4 linked regions of the Caenorhabditis elegans genome follow. The gene in region 3 interacts genetically with the main gene of each other region. Each region holds a gene or a part of one and is shown on either strand. Other genes may lie near its edges. The genes, in order: C50D2.1, lias-1, lit-1 and mrps-18C.

What was found.
Region 1: of lit-1 (region 3) and C50D2.1, a change in one rescues a mutant of the other (synthetic rescue), as found in Caenorhabditis elegans (one study listed by BioGRID).
Region 2: of lit-1 (region 3) and lias-1, a change in one rescues a mutant of the other (synthetic rescue), as found in Caenorhabditis elegans (one study listed by BioGRID).
Region 4: of lit-1 (region 3) and mrps-18C, a change in one rescues a mutant of the other (synthetic rescue), as found in Caenorhabditis elegans (one study listed by BioGRID).

The regions. Positions count from the first base shown.
Region 1 is NC_003280.10:109,625-115,260, forward strand, and holds C50D2.1 (Peptidase S1 domain-containing protein), read left to right. Parts: upstream 1-1,942; 5' UTR 1,943-2,062; coding exon 2,063-2,144; intron 2,145-2,793; coding exon 2,794-3,125; intron 3,126-3,178; coding exon 3,179-3,260; intron 3,261-3,307; coding exon 3,308-3,813; intron 3,814-3,864; coding exon 3,865-3,948; intron 3,949-4,002; coding exon 4,003-4,234; intron 4,235-4,292; coding exon 4,293-4,504; intron 4,505-4,549; coding exon 4,550-4,750; 3' UTR 4,751-4,836; downstream 4,837-5,636. Other genes in the region: C50D2.2 (Cationic amino acid transporter C-terminal domain-containing protein), read left to right, coding at 1-93, 140-468, 525-897, 944-1,303, 1,361-1,606; K10B4.3 (Protein melted homolog), read right to left, coding at 4,844-5,068, 5,124-5,636.
Region 2 is NC_003281.10:3,502,839-3,507,047, forward strand, and holds lias-1 (Lipoyl synthase, mitochondrial), read right to left. Parts: upstream 2,200-4,209; 5' UTR 2,199-2,199; coding exon 2,099-2,198; intron 2,050-2,098; coding exon 1,952-2,049; intron 1,908-1,951; coding exon 1,606-1,907; intron 1,562-1,605; coding exon 1,326-1,561; intron 1,270-1,325; coding exon 941-1,269; 3' UTR 872-940; downstream 1-871. Other genes in the region: rpl-13A (Large ribosomal subunit protein uL13), read right to left, coding at 51-247, 295-447, 500-758; M01F1.4 (Transmembrane protein 245), read right to left, coding at 2,941-3,072, 3,129-3,364, 3,415-3,515, 3,857-4,014, 4,068-4,190. UniProt on the Caenorhabditis elegans protein: Catalyzes the radical-mediated insertion of two sulfur atoms into the C-6 and C-8 positions of the octanoyl moiety bound to the lipoyl domains of lipoate-dependent enzymes, thereby converting the octanoylated domains into lipoylated derivatives.
Region 3 is NC_003281.10:13,711,961-13,717,457, reverse strand, and holds the start of lit-1 (Serine/threonine kinase NLK), read right to left. Parts: upstream 3,414-5,497; coding exon 3,274-3,413; intron 2,901-3,273; coding exon 2,782-2,900; intron 1,961-2,781; coding exon 1,787-1,960; intron 1,709-1,786; coding exon 1,607-1,708; intron 1-1,606. UniProt on the Caenorhabditis elegans protein: Has a role in the Wnt signaling pathway controlling the asymmetry of cell divisions during embryogenesis. Operates in the AB and EMS cell lineages influencing cell specification.
Region 4 is NC_003281.10:4,933,509-4,937,829, reverse strand, and holds mrps-18C (Large ribosomal subunit protein uL3m), read right to left. Parts: upstream 2,253-4,321; coding exon 2,062-2,252; intron 2,016-2,061; coding exon 1,627-2,015; intron 1,550-1,626; coding exon 1,422-1,549; intron 1,309-1,421; coding exon 1,144-1,308; intron 1,099-1,143; coding exon 760-1,098; 3' UTR 609-759; downstream 1-608. Other genes in the region: fsn-1 (F-box/SPRY domain-containing protein 1), read right to left, coding at 30-243, 383-469; eri-9 (Zc3h12a-like Ribonuclease NYN domain-containing protein), read right to left, coding at 2,912-3,121, 3,172-3,246, 3,288-3,692, 3,740-4,008, 4,060-4,321.

The sequences.
Region 1 (5,636 bases), on a different chromosome or scaffold from region 3:
GCTGTCGCTAGATCATGGTCTGGATACTTGGATTCATTACTGGGAAATGTTATTTCAAATTCAACAATTGCTCGCACTGGGCACTTGCATGAAGTAAGCCAGTAAATGTTTTTATAAAATTTTGAATTCGAAATTCCAGGCTTCATCATTTTTCGGCGATTACCCTGATCTTCTCGCTTTTCTACTCATCGTTCTTGTGGCATTTTTTGTTGCTCTTGGTTCAAAAGTGTCCACTAACTTCAACTCTTTCCTAACAATTCTCAATATTGGAATTGTTGTCATAGTCGTGTTCTATGGTATAACGTTTGCTGATTTCTCTCTATGGAGTGGAGTAGATGAGAAAGGGAATTCGAGATTCTTTCCGTATGGAGTATCTGGAATGTTTGCTGGAGCTGCATCTTGCTTTTTTGCATACATTGGATTTGACGGACTTGCAACTGCTGGAGAAGAAGCTAAAGATCCTGCACGGTGAGATTAAAATTTATGTGAACTGAGTATGTGAAATCTTAGGTAATTTATTTTAGATCAATTCCAATTGCCACATTCTCCTCTATGACAATTGTCACACTCTCCTATGTTCTGATGTCAGCTTCCCTGACATTGATGATTCCATACAATATGGTTCATCCAACTGCAGCATTTTCTGATGCATTCACGATGCGTGGAGCAGAATTTGCAAGCTATGCGGTCTCGGTCGGTGCTCTTTTTGGAATGACAACTAGTTTGGTTGGAGGAATGTTTGCTCTTCCGAGATGTGTATTCTCAATGGCTGATGATGGACTTTTGTTCAGCTCCTTGGCATCCGTAAACCCAAAAACTCAAGTTCCAACTCAAGCTCTTCTTATTTTTGGATTCCTCACTGCAATCATTGCATTGCTTTTCGATATTACCACTTTGGTAAGCTGAAATACGTTTTAATATACTTTAAACAAAATATTTCAAGGTTGAATTCTTATCAATTGGAACTCTTCTTGCGTATTCTATTGTTTCTGCCTGTGTAATCGTACTTCGCTACCAACCAGCATATAATGTTGATGAGGGCCAATTCGACAATGGAGGAAAACTTCGATTCAGCATTCCATTCTGTGGCTTCCTTGATAAACTTCAGCCAGGACACTCGATTTATTATGGGATGAGCGTAATGATTGCTTCAATGTTCTTCTCAGGCCTTGGATTCAGTTCTGGATATTTATATGGAACTGTTCTCTGCCAAATATTCTTGCTAGTCAATATTGCTCTGATAATTCTCTCATTCCTCTTTATCTGCGCTCATTACCCCAATAATACTCCACTGGATTTCAAGGTATGATTGATAATTTACGCAGGAGATTTTTATGTATAATGTAAATATTCCTTTCAGGTACCTCTCGTTCCTCTTATTCCTGCCCTTTCACTCTTAATCAACACTTTGATGATGGTTCATCTTGCTTGGATCACATGGCTCCGGTTAGTTGTTTGGATGAGCATTGGTTTTGTTATCTATTTTGGATATGGAATTCATCATAGTAAAGAAGAAGTACAAGACGCTGAAAAGTTCTCGAAGAGCTCCACGTATGAGTCCGTGGTGTCTGGAGTAGTGGCTGGAGCTGGAACGACGTCTCCGTGATTATACCTTCTAAACTCATCAGTTCTGTAAATAAACCGCAGTCTCCTTTTTATATTAATTTATGTTTTCTTTAAATATCAAATCTCTCCAAATGAACACTGGTTCCTCTCGTTTGTACGCATTTCCTGTCTGTGCTTCCTAGTATTTTAGTTACTTTCATTTCTTAGTATTTTTGTTTCCTTGTTAATAAAAAACTTGTAAAATCTCAGTTTTCTAAAACAACCATAGTTACGCAATTATCAAATACATATTCATTACCCTTTCTTATCACTAGCCGCCTCGCAATTTTGCCCGATTTTATGGAAAACGAGACAAAAGGATAAGCCTCGAGGCAAGGGACTGGGCGGCGGATGACGCGAGAAATCTCGTTTTTCGAGTTTCCACCTTTTTGATGATGAAGACGTAATCCGAATCAGAAGGAGACACTGGCATTTTTTATTCTCACCGGGACACACAATGAGGAGGAACCTCGTGGATATTTTCTACATTTCCTTACTAATATTTATATCTGGTTTGGTTTTTTGCACAGATGCTTCGGGTAAATATTCTTAATATTTTTACTGTCAAAAAGTGGCAATTAATCAGTTTTTTGCTACTCATAATTTTGGAAGTCGACCAAACATTTTTTTCCCTGCATTTTTTATACTGTAATTTTGTTTTAAATATTTGTATTAAAACATTGTAGGGGTCGGAAAGTGCGATATTGCTTTGGATTTCCTCAAAACCTCTTTTTTTTTTCAAAATTTTGGCAATTTGCAAAAAACTTGATATTTGGATGTTTTGGATTATTATAAGTATATTTAGACAAAATCCCCACTGGCGCTACTTCACCTTCAATACATATTTTTTTAAATTTATTCATTCATAAACTGTTGAACATAATTGTAAGAGCATAATTTGATAATCGCGGGGAACTTTAAATGCGCACTGCACCTCTTGAAATCATTTGGGAGTAAGTTTTCCAGTCCCTTTTAATTTTGTTTTTTGTTGCAAGATTTATCAAAATTCGTGTGAGCTATAATAATAATTCAACTGCCCGTAGTACGGCTAGATGAATCATCTCAAAATTGAAGTCGGAAAACTAATCGGAAAATTCAAGTATAGCCTGCCTTATCTGTTAGCTTTATCATTTATACCGGGACAATTTTCATAAAACGCAATTCCTTATCACCAAACATCTTTTTCAGTTATCAATCGAAGATTACGTCGAGACACAGAAGCGCCCATTGCGCGTGGTTTCAATCGAGAAATTCGGCGAAAACCGCCTGCAATTCTTCAATTAATCGGTCCGTTGGCATTTGGAAGAAAAGATGGAGACGATGCAAAAATGCACGTGCCAATGTTAGGCCAATTTGGCGTTGGAGATGTTAGTCAAATGACCGCAAAGTTTACTCCGGAAGGATCTCAAGGTCAAAAAGCGAATGGAGGAACATTTGATATTGATGATGAAAAGGGACCTCAGTTAGGATATATGGATCGAGAGACAACCATGGGAGAAAGATCGGGCAGCACTGGAAAAGTAAGATCATGTGTTTAACAGGATTTTCAGAGTTTTAAAGTTTCTAATTTCAGATGTCTTTTGGAGGTCTAGGAAACATTGAGATGGGAAATATAAACGAGCAAGGAACTGGGCTTCTAGACTTTTCAAAATCTCGTAAGTCAAGTCAATTGTTTGAAATATATAATTACAACATTTTCAAGTTTTCCCGTTTCTACAACTTCCTGCTCTCAAAAACGAAACCGAAAACGTGAAAGAAGAACATACACAAGTTGATCAAACTTATACCGACTATTACTATCCGAAACCCAGATCTTACTTGGGATCTTCTTACGATATTAATCGCCCTCAAGTAGGCGCAGCAGAGTCATTAGTGTCGCTTGGAAAAAACCGAGAGGACATTGAGTTCCCGAAGCTAGTAACTCAAGAGCCACCGAAGAAGTACAGTAACCCATTTGACAGTGTTCAAATTCGTCCGAGAATTCACGCGGCTGTTACGAAGACAGTAGATGATAAAGATTTAAATTCAAAGGAAGGATTTATTGCTCAAAACGGAAAGCAAGTGGACCCGGATGAAGATACAGCGCCGCTTTTGACTGCTGAGCACAAAGTGTCGCAAGTGACAACTAGAAAGTCTATCCATGAAGTTGGTCTGTCCGTTAAAGAAATTTACGCACTTTGTGCAAAATTTGCACCAATGGCAAATCAGGTAAATGATAGAACACAATCAATTTTTACCACAAATTAAATTTTGTTTCAGCATTGCTACAAAAGTAAAGTCGAAGAACAATTCATTGAAAGATGCAGAGGATATCAAAAAGATTGCGTTGAATTTATAGCAAAAGTCAGTTGATTTGACAGATTTCTTAAAAATTATTCAACAATGTTAATTGTATAGGCTCGCCCACTTGGAGCAATTGCCAATTCTTTCTCTTCTGGAGTTGGTCTTACGTACTACGACTGGAATGTCAACGGAATCCCGTACTACCCTGTAAACGAGGAAGGTTCCATTGGAAACGGCCATCATGGAAAAGTAGATTTTGGAACGTGGGGAGGAGGATATTCTGATAATCTTGGTGTAAGAGATTTCTGGTCTCAAACCCAAGAATATGGAGCTAACTGGTACGAAGGTAGGATTTTACGGCTCAAAAAATTTTTTTATAATTTTAAGTTTTTTAACGATTTCAGGCCAGTATGGATACAAAACTGGATGGAGTATTCCAATTGTGCAGGGAATTGGAGTTGAAGGAGGTCAAGGAACGCAAGTCTCAGTGCCAATCAAAGAAGGAGAGCTCGGAAGACCGATTTCAGTGACTAATGGGTACCACGTCGGGCCATTTATGGGATTAGCAGATAGAGTTGGAGTTGATTGGCTCAACGGGGGAGTCTCGTGGAATAAGGTATGCAAAATCTTGGTAATTACAAAAACGCAGGGTTGTTTTCAGGGTTTCGCTGTCCCATTCGTTGGAGTTGGTGTGAATACCGGAACAGCTGTTGGGTTCCCTAGTGTCGGAATGATAATGAACAGGATGGGTATGGACGGAGTAGAAACTCTGAATAACATGGCAAGAGCAGCGGCTGCCCAGACGGCACAAGTGGCAGAACATAGATCTACCTCCATTGACATTGGAAATCTGTATCAATAATCTATCTTTAATCATTGAATTTCTGGAATCTCGTGCAATGTTTTCAACTAATAATTATTGTAAATAAAGTTTATAATATTAAAATCAGGTGAATTAAGCCAATTCCCTTCTTGCATGAGCCATTGCAATCTGTAGACAATGAAGCCATTCCTCCGCATTTTTTTCATCTTTGGCTTTCAGAATCATTGATGTATTGTCAGCTGTGAAAATTTCAAATGCCTTTCTTAGACTCTTTCTAGCTTTCTTTCCACGACCGAGCGATCTGACAGATCGGATAGAACGAAGATCGATTGAGGGAAGGAGTGCTCGGGAATCAGTCTGAAAAGTGACAGAAATGATGTATCAAAATTTCCGATTCCGGAAAAAAACGTACCGGCATATGTTGTGTGCTATAATTCAATGCAGCCGATGACAAGGTAAAGTATTTGGTGTTCCATCGTTTCAAAAACCTCCATCGCCCTTTTTTCTCTTTCAACTGTCCTTCCAATACTTTTTCGGCGCCTCCTTCTTCAACAAAGTATTTCACTTTTTCAGGATTCGTACAACTAATGCAATTCCACATATTATTCGTAGAGTCCATTGTAAAACAAGCGAAAAATCCAGCTTCGTCAAGTTCCTTAATCAGCTTGTTCTGGTCTTTTGAGTTTGGAAAAGCTGCAGTGATCATTGTATCAAAGGGAACACTTTTTGTTATAGAACTCGGTAAACACTTCCAACAATGTTCAAGCGTTTGGTACTGCTGTGAGTCCTTTCCGACAACTTCACCGAATTGGGTTATTGCCGAACATTCCATTTGCAGAAACATGAAATGAAGCCAAAATGCTGGATATTTAGTTTTAAATGCAAATAGGTATTCCTTGGTGAATACACAACATGGCGAAGAACG
Region 2 (4,209 bases), about 10 Mb from region 3:
ATATGGTCAACAATTTTATAATACCAAACAAAACAGATTTGTGCATGGATTTAATTGTATCCAAGAGCCTCGATGATCTTCTGGTATTGAGCGATCTTTGGGGCGGCATTCTTCTTTGCTTGAACGGCGAGCTTGTCCATCTTCTTTTTCTGTTCGAAGTAGGCGGCTCCCTTCACCTTTCTCTTAGCCTCGAGCTTGGCAACAACATCCTGGAATTGCCATCCGACCTCGTGCGATAAGCGTCCAACTGAAAATTAAATAATCGTTGTGATCAAAAAAATTATAATAACTCACCGACGCAGAACTTTCTTCTTGGTTGAAGTCGGAATCTGCTGGCTGATGGGGCATGGAGAGACTTGGTCTTCTGGTATTTGGCTGGAACTCCTTCGTAGGCGCGGAGGTTCTTGAGAGCCTCGTTTCCGCGGTTGGTCTTGTGTGGGAGCATTCCTGAATAGAGAATTTATTAATTTAAGTACAGATAATGTTTAAAATCACTCACCTCTGACGGTACGCCAGAAGATCTTTCCTGGAGCACGGTAATGGAAGGCTCCACGGGCTGGGTTGATGTTACAACGCTTGCGGAGGAAGCTCATGTACTTCAGCTTGGAACGGTGGAAGTTTCCGGAGATGACGATCTCTTCAGCTCTGAGGACGACAACCTTGTCTCCTTGGAGAAGCTTCTTTGCAACGATGGAAGCCAACCGACCGAGAAGGTGGTTCTTTCCGTCAATGATGATTGCTCTGTTCGACAGACCCATCGTTTACCCTGAAATAAATACTGATAAGAAGGGGAAAGTTTAGAAATACACGAGAGTAAAGGAAGAGAGATAAATCGAAGCGAGAGAACGCGCATAACAATAAATATATGAAAACTATTTCGAGAATTTATTTGGCAAGAATCCCGCACAAATTCTTCTAATATTTACATATTTCAGTAATCTTAATTTTGTCTATTTCTCAACACATTTTTCAAATAGAATTCTCCGGCTTTGTACGAAGAGCGAACAAGAGGGCCAGATGCAACGTAAAGGAATCCCAGTTTTTTCGAATATTCTGCCCACTGGTCGAATTTCTCGGGGGTCACCCATTCTTTGACAAGCAAATGACGTTTTGTCGGCTGCATGTATTGACCGAAAGTGACAACGTCAACATTGCTAGCTCGAAGATCGGCCAAGCACTGCTTTATCTCGTCTTCAGCTTCGCCCAGTCCTAGCATAATCGATGTCTTCGTGATTAGCTTTGGGCTGACTTCCTTTGCGTATCGAAGAGCTTAAAAAATATTCAATAATATTTACGAGATTCTGAAAAAAAAAAAAGCTGCTTACCGTCCAAAGACTGCCGATATTTAGCTCGTGGATCTCTGACCCATGGAGTCAGTCTTTCAACCGTTTCAATGTTATGTGCATATACATCGAGTCCACTGGTAGCCATTTTCTCCACACTGATCTTATCTCCAGCGAAATCGGGCAATAAGCATTCGATGAGAAGTTCAGGCTTCTTGAGCTTCATCAGCTGTACTGTCTTGCGAAGATGATCGGCTCCACCGTCTGGCAAATCATCCCTGAAAATTACTTTGATTAAAAGCTCAAGATACGAATAAGTTACCTGTCAACTGATGTTAAAACAATGTATTCGACACCCCATGAAGCAACGGCGGTCGACGTATTTTCCGGTTCCATAGGATCCAATGGTGGAGGAGCTCGAGCAGTTTTGACCGAACAGAATTTACAACCCCGAGTGCAGGTATCTCCCATCAACATGATTGTCGCTGTTGCTAGACTGTCATCTGATCCTCCCCAGCATTCTCCAAGATTTGGGCACCGTGCTTCCTGACAAACAGTCGCTAGTTTGAGATGTTTCAACTGCTTTTTTAGACGACTGACATTTTCGTTTTCCGATGGAAGAATCTGAAAACAATTGTGATGAGGGGCAAAAAATTGATAGGCTATACCTTTTCTTTCTTGAGCCATGGTGGAAGTCGCAAACGTCTGTCCCCTTTCTCCAGCTTCAGTTTTCCTTCGTACTTCTCAACAGCCTCTGCCACGGATGCTAAAATTAATAATTATTTGATTATGAAACAATATTGTTTGAGTTTTACCTGATGAAATAAAATCCTGAAGCGATGGTCCATCTTTGACGAGAACTTGCGGTTTTTTCTTTGTGGCTGCAAGTCCACGGACCCATACCCGAGCTAGCATGCTTAAACAATCTACCGGTAATAATTAAACTCCTTGTGTTGAAAATCAAGAGGGACCCCCTACAACTGAAATTCTGGTTGAGAAATAGACAAATTTGGATTTTGGGAACATTTTTCCACTTTTCCTACCTAGTTTCTGACAAATCTCGCAGAATAAGAACTACAATCGATAATTAGCACTATTAATCGTTTAAAAATTAAAAATTCAATCAATTTTATGCAAAAAATCGCGCAAAAACGTGAAAAATCAGGCGAAAATCGTGAAAAAATTTTAGGATAGCGGAAAAAGCCATGCGTTGAGGTTCGATGGGTCTCGCCACGATACGCAATCAGACGTGACGGTGTATGCACAGAAAAATCCACCGTAGTCCGCAAGGCCATTCGCAACATTTTTTTTCACTTCAACAATCAAATTTAACTCATTTTTCCAGCAGAATCTTGGGAATTTTCATAAAAACCTTAATAGTGAGGTCCCTTTTGACTTTTTACGTGGTTTATTCGTGATTTTGATCATAACTAGAGTTCTAAAAAGGATAAAACGCTTTTGAAACGGAAAAATAGTTTAAATTGGCTTTCACGTTACCATAATGAGCAAAATAAACAGAAATCCGAAAAAAAATACATGTTTATTATGAGACAAAAGTTCACCAGGAATGGCAAGAACCGAAATTTGTAAAATACAGGGGTCAAACAAACTAAAGGCAGTGTCTAAAGAATGCGAAAAATATTTTTGATTAATATAATCAATGATTATGCAGCTTCACATTTCGTGGAGACGGAGCTGGGGTGTACAGAGCTGTTGGCTTCACGTGCTGGAGATAAACGTTGACAAGTACGAGGCAAAGGCAGAGAACAATTGGTCCTATGATTGCGCCCTGAAAATATATTTAAATGAGGTACTTTTTTAGTAGAAGAAGTTAAATACACAAACCTGCAATCCCAACCAGTACATTCCACCAATGATAGCCAAACCGGTCACATATGGATGAGATCCCTTAACTTCCCGGTAAAAAGTAGCATCTGCGAACATTACAGGAGCAAATGAAGCGACTGTGAATACAAGAGCAGCTGCTCCTTCTCCTCGAACCAGCCAGAGTTCGACGATTCCGAAGATTGCGACGATGTAGGGAGGCATAATTGGAATAGCAGCGAATACTGTGGCAGCCACTGGAAAAATGGGACTTAGTAAAATTAATTAAATTTTAAAATCAACTCACTTGATGGAACAAATACAATGTTCAAATCGAAAAGACTGTGCACAAAATAAGTGTAGAGACCGTAGAAAACAGCCATTTTTGCAGAAAGAACGAATACTCCGCTGAAAAAAGGATTTTTTAATTAACTTTTAAATAATAATTCCCATTAAAATATAGAAAATGGGGCGAAACTACTCAAAATGTATGGATTTTTCAATTTTCCAACAAACCCGGGCAAAGTCATTACTTCATTTTTCCCATACAAATGGGACTATTTTTGCCGAATTTTCTGAAATTTTTCCCCAAAAACATGGAAAATAGGCCAATTTTGGAGGTTTTTCTACGGAAAATTCGATAAAACCCAGAGATTAACCTAAAATTTAATTATTTAAATTGTTCGTAAAAAAGCTATTTTTCAGGACTTTACAGTCGATTTTCTAAATTTTTAAGCCTAAAAACGTACAAAATCGCATGTTCTATCGCTACAGTAATATGATGCTGATTTCCTGCTGACGAGCCATCGGCTGTAGTGACTGCTGAGAGATCAGAAGCCCATTGAAGAGGAAGCCAGCGAGTACGAGAAGCCGAGAGAAGATAATATACCATTGTAAGGAAGACAATCTGAAATTCACTTTATATCGATTTTCAAATAATCTAGAGAAATTATTCAGTACCATCTCGATAAATGTGTTGAGCAAATCCATTCCAAAGCTTAAAATAATTCCGGCGAGAGAGACCAAAAGTGAAGAGAAGATTGACACATTTACGGCAAGAATTGCTCCAATAGATTGGGCGATCTGAAATTTTTTTAAAATT
Region 3 (5,497 bases):
ATATCCGTTCAAAATATCGAAAAACAAGTGTCTAGAAGTAGATAAAATTTAAATTCGGACCATTTTGAGTGTGTAGAGATCAGAAAATATATTTGACGAAAAAGAACGGGAGAAGTCTAGCTCACTAGGTGGAGCGAGAAATCTTGTGAAGAACTTTTTTAGGCCAAGTCGGGGAATATTAAAGAAAAATAGACTAAATCAATTTAAAAATGAATAGGACGAAAAACTAAAAATGTAGGACATTCCATTTTAGCGGAATTAATATAGTCCAAAGGAGCACAAAATGTAGTCTAAGCACATACTCTCTACTTATTTCTAGATCTGAGCTGAAATCTAATTAATTCCACCTTTACGTATTCGCTGTTGCCATTATCTCCCTTTTTTCCATTTCACTCAAAAATTGCGTCACTAGCAATATAATCTGTGTATATGCGTTTTTCGACATATCTAGTGTTATGTTCGTCATAACGTGAATTTGTGTGTATGTGATCAACGGAGTTCACATGTTTGAGCGTCATAAATGAATCGTTAGTGAATTTCAGATTGATAAAGATATATCGAATAAAGATTAACTAAGTAGTGTTTAACTGGTTTTCATACTAAATTTCAGAAAAGAAAATAGGCATTTTTTATATATAATTTTCCGTTATTCAAAAAAAAATTAAAAGGAAGAATCGTTTTTCTATCAAGTAATTAATTGTTAAACGAACAATTTATAGGCCAATTTTTATTTCTACGCGGAAAAATGTCTGAAAAATTGACAATTAGTGTTCCAATTTAAATGGCAAAGAGTAAGAGCATCATAAAAATTTTTTTCACAATATTTTTTTTTGGAAATGATAGAAAATTCAGAACATTAAAAAAAACGGGTTTATTCGGAAAAAATGGCTCAAAAAAGCCGAACTTGATCTCTTTTTTAGTCATCATATTTCGCAATAAATGTCTTTCAGATTTCTGTTAGAAAATCGTAGTAGTTCTGAGAAGTGAGTCACGGTGAACTGAGAAAATTCTAAGAATTCCAGAATAAAAAAAACACCCCGAAGCTGATGACGGAGAGTAACAACAACAAAAAACATGTGCTTTAACAGAGAAAGCAGTCTTTTCTAGAAAGAGCGGAGTGTGTTCTTTGTAGGTCATTCAGGGGAGACAAGGACATTACGGTAGAGGAGATGGAAAATAAAGTAGTAGAAGGACTTGTGCACTTTGACAGGCAGCAACTGATTAAATTTGTAAAGACCGGCTAACAGAACTACACGTGAACTTTGAGATATTAAAAAGTAAACAAAAAGGGAAATGGTTCGAAAGTTTGTTAACAAATCAAGAAAATAGATTTTTACAAATATCATGATTCAAAAAAATTTTGTTGGGAATTTTGGTTTTTACAGAAAAATTTGAAACTATTGTTAAAATTAGTTTTTAGTTTTAAAAACCAGATTTTTGAGGCTTGAAAATTTTTCCCAATATTTTTTTTTATCTTTCAAAAATTTCATAAGTTAACTTTTAAAAAAAGGGAAATTGTTCCGTTCATTTTTTAATGTTTTTTTCCGGATTTTCGGTAATTATTTTTTAATTTTTTGTTTTCGTGAAAAAAAATCGGTCGACTCACCAACTAATTGCTGATGATGATGGTGAGCCTGCTGTTGCTGCTGCTGTTGAACCAAATTCTGAAGATGGTGGTGCAGAGCAAAGTGTGGTGGTTGTTGTATTACTGAAAAATTAAAAAAAACATTACTTTTTTATTGAAAAAAAAAACAATTTTCAACGTTTAAAACATTATTTAACAAACCGTCAGATCGTGGCACAACTGCTGAATAGTGTGGTTGTGCCGCTTGCGGCTGATGATGATTGTGATGGGTGGCGGCAGCGACGAGCTGGTACTGTACCGATGGGTGAAGCTGCTGGTGATGTTGATGGTGAGCGGCGACGGCGGCCAGCTGGTGTTCCGGTATTATTGGGATTGCTGAAACAATTCTTGATTAATTATTGAGTTTTTCGGAAAATCCTCTGAAATTGGCTAAAAATTAGACAATTTCATGTGAATTATATGAAGAGGTACTGAAAATTGTTGAAACTTTGTTTTTTTTAATGATAAATTTTACACATTTTTTAGCTAACAAAGCGAAGAAATTGAGCAGAAAAACAAAAATTCGAAACGAAAAAACAAAAACTTTTTTAGAATTTCTCCGATCGTGACGAGACCTACTGCAAGAGACAGTTTGGGCGCCTTTAAATCTTACAGTACTGAACTATTTGAAAATTCGTGTTTCGGGAGCAAACAATGGGGTTTGGAAATTTCGGTTAGAATGAACATTTTAAAATAAAAAATTTGTTTCAATTAAATATTAAAAAAAGATATCTTAGGCACGAAAATCGAGAAAATATTATAAAATGTATGATTTCTCGAATCGTGGTGGAACCCAGTACGAAACTAAAGGTATGCTCCTTTAAAGTTTACAGTACTTTTAATTAATTTTCATTTTTCGATCAATAATTCAACGGTTAGGTTTAAAAATTAATTATCCATTTTCCAAACTAGTTTAATTGTTTAAAAAGAAAATTTGTAGACAAATTGAACTGGATTATAAAAGCAAATCAACTCTAATTCTAATACAAAGATTAGCGAGCGTTATTTTTTTCACATGAATGAGCGAAAATCTCAATTTCTTAGCTTATTAAAAAAAACAATAGGGTCTCCCAACGAATTCCACAAAGTTCGTGGCGAGACACACATTTCCGGACATGTAAAACTCAATTTGTTTTAATTTTTCCACAAAAACACACCCTGACTGAGAATCTGTTGCTGTCGGGATATAAGTGCGGCGTGTGCAGCTGCAAGATCGTAGAGCTCTGTAGATGACGAACTACAGCCGGATGAACTGCTTGATCCTGGAATTTCTGGACTTGAAAAAAAGAAAGAAAAAAGAAAGAAGAAAAAAGAACATGAAAAAGTGAGGCGGAACTAGTGTTATTCATTCATGACGAGAGAGGACGCCTTCTTTTTTTTTTGTTTTTTTTCTAGAGAATTCTGAAAAAAAGGAGGAAATAGATGAAGAAGGAAATAAAAGTTGTTCTCCTCTCGGAAAACGAAATTGTGCCAAATTTATCAAGCCAACAAAAAAATTTCCAACAAAAAAACCAAAAATGGTTTAATAACGAAATTTTTCAATGTATTATTTTCAGGAGAACTGCCTATTTAAAATATTTTATGATTGACAAATTTAAGCAATACAGAGGCTCATAATGAACATTTTTTGTAAACATGTGAAAATTTACTCGGGGAAAAGGCACCCGCAGAATTCGTCCTCCGTGTCTTTCTGAGACGAGTAGAAGGAAAGTGAATCGTCATCATCTTCTTCTTGTTCTCGAGAAATATAGAGATAGTACGCATCCTTCCCCCTTCCCCACGACACCATCACCACCCAACACCGTCTTCCTCAATACGCGTCTACGATTCATCTCGGATCTGTAGGCGAGTGAGCGAGCGCGCACGCACCCCTCCACTGTGTGTGTGCTAACAGGACTGAGAAGAGAGACCTCACTACCTGTCGCCACCAGGCCCCCGGTACCATGTACGTTGAGGGTGATGACCCCGACCTCCCCAAGGACCGTCCCTCGGGATTTCGAAATTTTTTATTACTCTGTTACTTTTGGGGAACGGGAAAATAACAAGAACTTCTGATATGTTCTGATATGAGGATATGTGTGCGCCATGTGAAAAATTAGTTATATAAATTGCTAGCATATATCATTATGAAGACTAACTTCAGAATATCACATTAGAATTAGTAGTGGTTCAGACTTTTTCTGAATTCCCGGAAAAAGTGTCCGGGAATTGAGCAGAAAAGTACACATTTTCTAAAACGAGGCTCCTCGAAAGATAAGGACAACTAATTTGGAAACACCTTATTCTGGTACTTTTGGGGGCGGGGAGAGGACAAGGGAGTAAAGTAAAGCTGGAAAACAAGTGCTAGCATACAGAATAATGCGAAAAATTTACAATTTCATTGGCAAAAAATGAGGAAATGCAAATATCGAGGAAAATTATAAAAGTTCGTGGTGATTTGAAATAAAAAACCACTAAAGTACCAAAAAATTTGCCGTGGCAATATGGCAAAACTTTCAACAAAAAGCATACTGTATATATGAGAACGTTGACTACAGCTGATCGCGAGTAGCAAACTATGAGATGCACAAAGAGCAAGAGAGACGAGAGAGTGTGTGGCAAGGAAAACGGCCACCCAGCAGCAGCAGCAGTAGACAGACCCCCCCCCCCCCGCGAATTCGAATATTATGTAGCAGTGGTCACTTTCTATTCGAGATAGTCGGGCGAGACACAGAGAGCACGACGGCGTAGAGAGTGGTCAAGGGTGTGGAGACGCAGAGAGATACGGAACGCACTCTCATACATCTGACTGACCACTCAAACGGACGCAGAAGACCGAAAAGCTGCGAAGAAGAAGAAGCAGAGATGTGCTCCCCTAAGAACCAACTACTACTATTACTACGATGTACCCCATCCCCGTTTCATTTGGAATTTAAAATTTTCAACAGGGGTGTCTGTTGTTTGGCATGCTGACAGTTGGAGCAAGGATGTCGTTTTTGGCAACAAAAAATCGAAACTCTGATTCTCCAGAATGTTTGTTTTCTCAATTTGTGGTGCCCCTAATCGGAACTTTCTCTAAAAGCCGGGAATCTGATTCTCCAAGTTTTATGTTCGAAATTTCTGAGCCAAAACTCAAACAAAAAACTTGGGAAGTCTGAAATTTTGTAAAACTCGAAGAAAAAATCTAACAGATCCGGTTCTACAGATGTTGTAGTTCCTTTACATTGTGGGCTCTATCTACAAAATCTGATTTTTTGTTTTTTATGAAATATTTCATATGAAATGAAAATTTGATCCGAAAATAAGAAGGAAAATTAGCAAATTTGATTCTTAAAAATTTGCAACTCACTAGACTTCGTAAAGTTTCTAATTCCCAAATTTTTCTGACAAATTATCGAAAAATAACACTGGTGAATCTGACCCTTCGATTTTTTTATTTCTCTATTTTTGTAGGGCTACGATATAAAAACCAGTTTTTTTCCGAATTTTGATGAAAATTTGCTGTGAACTCTAACTTCATACTTACTAGTTCGAACGAATAAAATTCCTGGAATCCTAAAAAGCATCAGAAAAGACAAATCTTGAAAGTTTCCGAGTGAAATAAAAAGTTCGAAGAAAAGCCATAACACACACACACCCACATACATATATATCCAGAAGACGGCTATATATGTGGTTGTTGTTGTTATTGGGCACACACGAGACATAGCAAAAGCAAGCAAGCAAAAAAAAAATAGAACGCCGCCGACTGCTTTGACGACTACTATACAAGGACGCGGAAAAGCAACTGCGAAGAAGAAAGTGAAAAAAAACAAATAAAAATTACGAAAAAGTTAAAGGAAAGTGATAAAAAATTGAACATTTTCTATTGGAAACCCAACGAATTTGAAGGAA
Region 4 (4,321 bases), 8.8 Mb from region 3:
CTTCAAGGGGGAAAATGTTATATGTTTACCTTTCAATGGTAAATACTGAAAAATCTGATTCAGTACTTTCAGAGGAAGTCTAGAAGCTGACACTTCCGGGCGTCGTGGAGAACGTCGTCGTCTTGGGGGAATGCTATGCGGAGTCAATTGTTTTGGTGATTCATCTGGGGTTCCTGATGATGGATTCCCTTCGTCATCACATTCCACCATTGAAGTTTTTCGTTCTTTCGGGCTTTCCACTTGCTGAAAATTTAATATATTTCCCTTTTTTATTATTTTATAGCTTGTTTTCATAAACAATTTTTTAAAAATATTGTCTAGCTTTGAAGTTTGAAAAATTCAAGTTTCAAAAACAGTATTTTGAAAAAAGAAAGCAACTCACTTCCAACCCACTACTTTTCATAGGCGTTGAGGCCGTCAAATTGCACTGTTCGTCTGGAACAATCGTTTCCCCGTCGTTTTCAGCCATACTTCTCGATTAACCAGCTCACCACAGTCTTGTCATTCGCTTCAAATTGAGAATCCAAGTTTCAGAATGCATAATGTTAAGAAATAAAGTAAATCTCGGTAAACGACCGGTTTGGAAAAAAATCAACAAATAATTGAATATAAACTCTGCTTTTTGGTATTCAGAACAAACAAAAACAATGCAAAACAATGAAAAATCTATAAATCTACGGAACAAAAATTCTAATAAACCGAATTTCGACAAAAAACGATAAAGGAAAACCGTAATATATCATAAAATTAGATACACCATTACTTTTTAACTTTTGCAATCTTAGCTTTCGTTTTATCTCTTCCAGTGGCCTTCTTGGCGTCGGCATCAGTGAATAAAATGGATGGAGATGTGAAACGGAACAGTTTGGGCGAGAATTTTTCGTTGAAAAGAAGATTTTTGGGAATTGTGCCTTCTTCGGGTTCTGTCTCCGGTTCTTCTTCGATGGTTTCTAGTGATGGAGCCCATGTTGGCATTGGGCCGGATTTCAGACGTTTTTCTTCTTGTAAGCAATCTTTAAGTAGAATTGTTTCTCCAATATCACCAGGTACACTTCCTTTCACATAAATTACTTGTTTATCTACATTGATTCGAACAATCTTAAATAAATGAATTGAAAATTAAAATCGAGAGCAATTTCTTACTTCCAAACCAGAAACAGTCCTCCACTCATAACCCATATGTCCCGGCATACGTTTTCCTGGCCAAATTCGAGCATCGCCGACTGAACCAACGGAACCAATTCTACGATGTGATTTTGTGGTACGTCTTGTCGGTTGTCCACGCATTCCCCATCGATGCATTCCACCCTGAAAACGACTAGTTTCGAAAATATTTCGCAAGGGTTGAGAGATTATTTTGCTCCTTGGCTTGCAAGGGAAATTTTGGAAGTTTTAGACTATTGTAAATTGAAAAAAATTACCTGGAATCCCCAGTCAATAGTTTTTCCAGTAGCAGTTACATATTGACCAACTCCGAAGTGACGGGCATCAAGTGGCTGTCCAGCACTGGGGAGAGCGTCTTCTGTTACCAGGAAACATCCGAGTTTCTCTGAATTTATTTTTTTAACCATGAATTTACGGTGAAGGACTATCGAAAAGCGGAGCAAAACACAAAAAAAACCCAACCTTTCACTGGAATTCCTGCGCGAACAAATTGCCTACGGTACCCAAGCGTGTATTTTGTTGGATCATCATTTCCGGCACCCACTGTAACTCTCCACATAGGACCGTGACGATTGAAAGCCTTTCTTTTTCCGACGGCTGACGATTTATACCAAGCCTCTGGTGATGTAATACTGACAACATGATTTTCATCAACTTCAAGCACAGTGCACAGAATTCGGTTTCCTTCATTTGTCCATTGTGGGAGCATTCCGATTTTGCGGACAACCAGACCCACACGTCTTGATGAATCTGGAATGTCAACAACTGAGACATTGGTTTCTTGAGAATTTTGAAATGCAATGGTGGACGCCGCAAGAGTTTCTTTCTCAATTACGGTTTCAAGCAGATTTCTGAACAAAAACGTTTGCTAAACAGGTAAGAATTAATGCAACTTACTTTGTCCCCTGGCTAATACCCACACTGCTTTTCGGCACACTCTCTTTGACTGGCGGAAGCCATGGAGCTGGGGTCAATGTTCTTCTGCGACCTCTCTGCTGACTGATATGTCCACTGAAGGCCATTAGAATTCTCCCGGCCCATTCTGGAGTCGGACCCGTCGTCACACTGGATACCAGTGAACGGAGCATCTGTAATTAAGATTAAATATTAGTGAGATATAATTGATCATGAAATTCTAGAATAAAAATGAAGAAAATATCATCAGAAACTCCGCATGGAAATAAAAATGCGAGATACGAGAGCTGGACGAAATATAAAATGATGGCATAGCTAATTATAGCTTTATACCTTGAATGAATAACACTTCTGACAAGCATCAAAGAAACTTGTGTTAAAATAGTAGCTATTCAGCCAAATGAAGTGATTGATTCTGCTAAGTAATGAAAAATGGGAATAAAAAAGTCGGTAATGATAATCTGACGGGAAGATACTGAGAACAGAGGAACTAACGAATAAATCGAGAAGAACAAATAATTCGAAGGTTAGGCATATTACTTAAAATGAAATTATAACTAAAAGACGAACTTCAAATTCAAAAGAAGCTTGCTAACTTTACTTTAGCCCGACTTTAATCAATGCTCCTGAGAAACTGGGTGTTTCGTATGCGGCTAAACAACACGCGCATACGGAATTTCGGAGTGTTGTTGCCAGAAAATTCAAATAAAATTTTTCAAACAAAAAATGCAATTGTTTGTTTAAAATACAATTTTCAGGGTATATATTACCAAGAATTTTTAAAATAAAAGTTTAAAACCAAAGAAATGCGAAAATATTTTTATTGAACATATTAATTATCAATTTTTGAGAAAATAGGCCAATAAAGAAGGTCCTTCCCGTTCTGAATGTCTTGAATTGCCATAGCAACATCATCCATGCGAGTTTTTTGCATAAAACTAGGTAAAAGTTCTGGCACGTAACGTTTTATAATCATAAGGAATACTCTTATTTGGCGATAGCGTTGGAAATGGAAAATAGAGAGTTGCGCCATAGAGGAAATCTGAAATATTGATGATAAATCAATCTGAACGGAAAACTGGAAAAAATAACCAAATATGTTTGTTGCTCAAGAGTTAACTGATGCGGGGAATATTCAAATTCTTCGTTTTCAGATTTCTGATCACGCTGAAAAAATTTAGACTTTACAAAATTTAGATTGCACCTACGTTTTCGGATAAGTCGCCTGAGCTGGAAGCAACATCGACGATAGCTCCTTCTTCAGAATCTTCTGATATTTCAGAACATTCCTCTTTAATCAAATATTCTTGTTTCAACGTTTGTGGATCAGCAGGTTCATCCTCAGAGTCTTCCATAGCTCCACTGATTTTTTGATGTGATTCTTCTAGGACAGTTGTGCTTGATACGGCTGAAGAACTCCCTTCAGGTTTCAAAACTCTAGATTCTTCAACGAAATCTTGTGCGAGTATTTTTTTCGGAAGATTATTGACTAGGAATACTGTGCAAATTAGAAATTCATCAAGTCTTTTAGAATAACGATTAATCACTGGAAAGCATTGAATAGCGTTTCGGGTTAGAAACTCTTCCGCTGAGGAAACAAAGACTCCATGGACCTAAAATTTATTTTCAAATTAACGAATTTTGAAACTAAAAGAATAACCTTTTCAGCTTCAAGCAATACTTGTCGTTCCACAGCCCTCCGACTCCGCCCGTCAACAAACTGTATAAGTTTTGAATTGCACAAGAATTGAAAAATAGTCGAGTCATCGACTTTTTGGTTAGTTGTATCGTTATAATAATCTGGCAAGTATATTACAGTTTGGCACCCGTCTAGAATGAAATTTAAAAGTATTTCAAGTAGAGATCTCGTGGAAATTATTGGAAGCGACGATGAGATCGGAATTAGCATGTCCATGAATGATAAGCCATCTGAAACGAATTATTCAAAGTTAAAAACATCTAAATATGAAAGTAACCAACCTATAAATACGGGTCTAAGCATACAATCCGTGCTTCTTTGGTTAAAAATTGGAGTATTTTCTGATCCGATTTGATAATTACATATTAATGATAAATCGTTGTTACGCAGCAATTTAAGCCGCTGATGTTCATCAAAATGGCATGAAAAGTTCTTAATTGTGAGGCGACTCGTTGATTCCAAGAAATCATCATGTTTCTGGAAGTGTAGAAGCCACAATATTTCTTGAATACTTTTCAATATTTTTTTTCGTTTTTTGCGTTT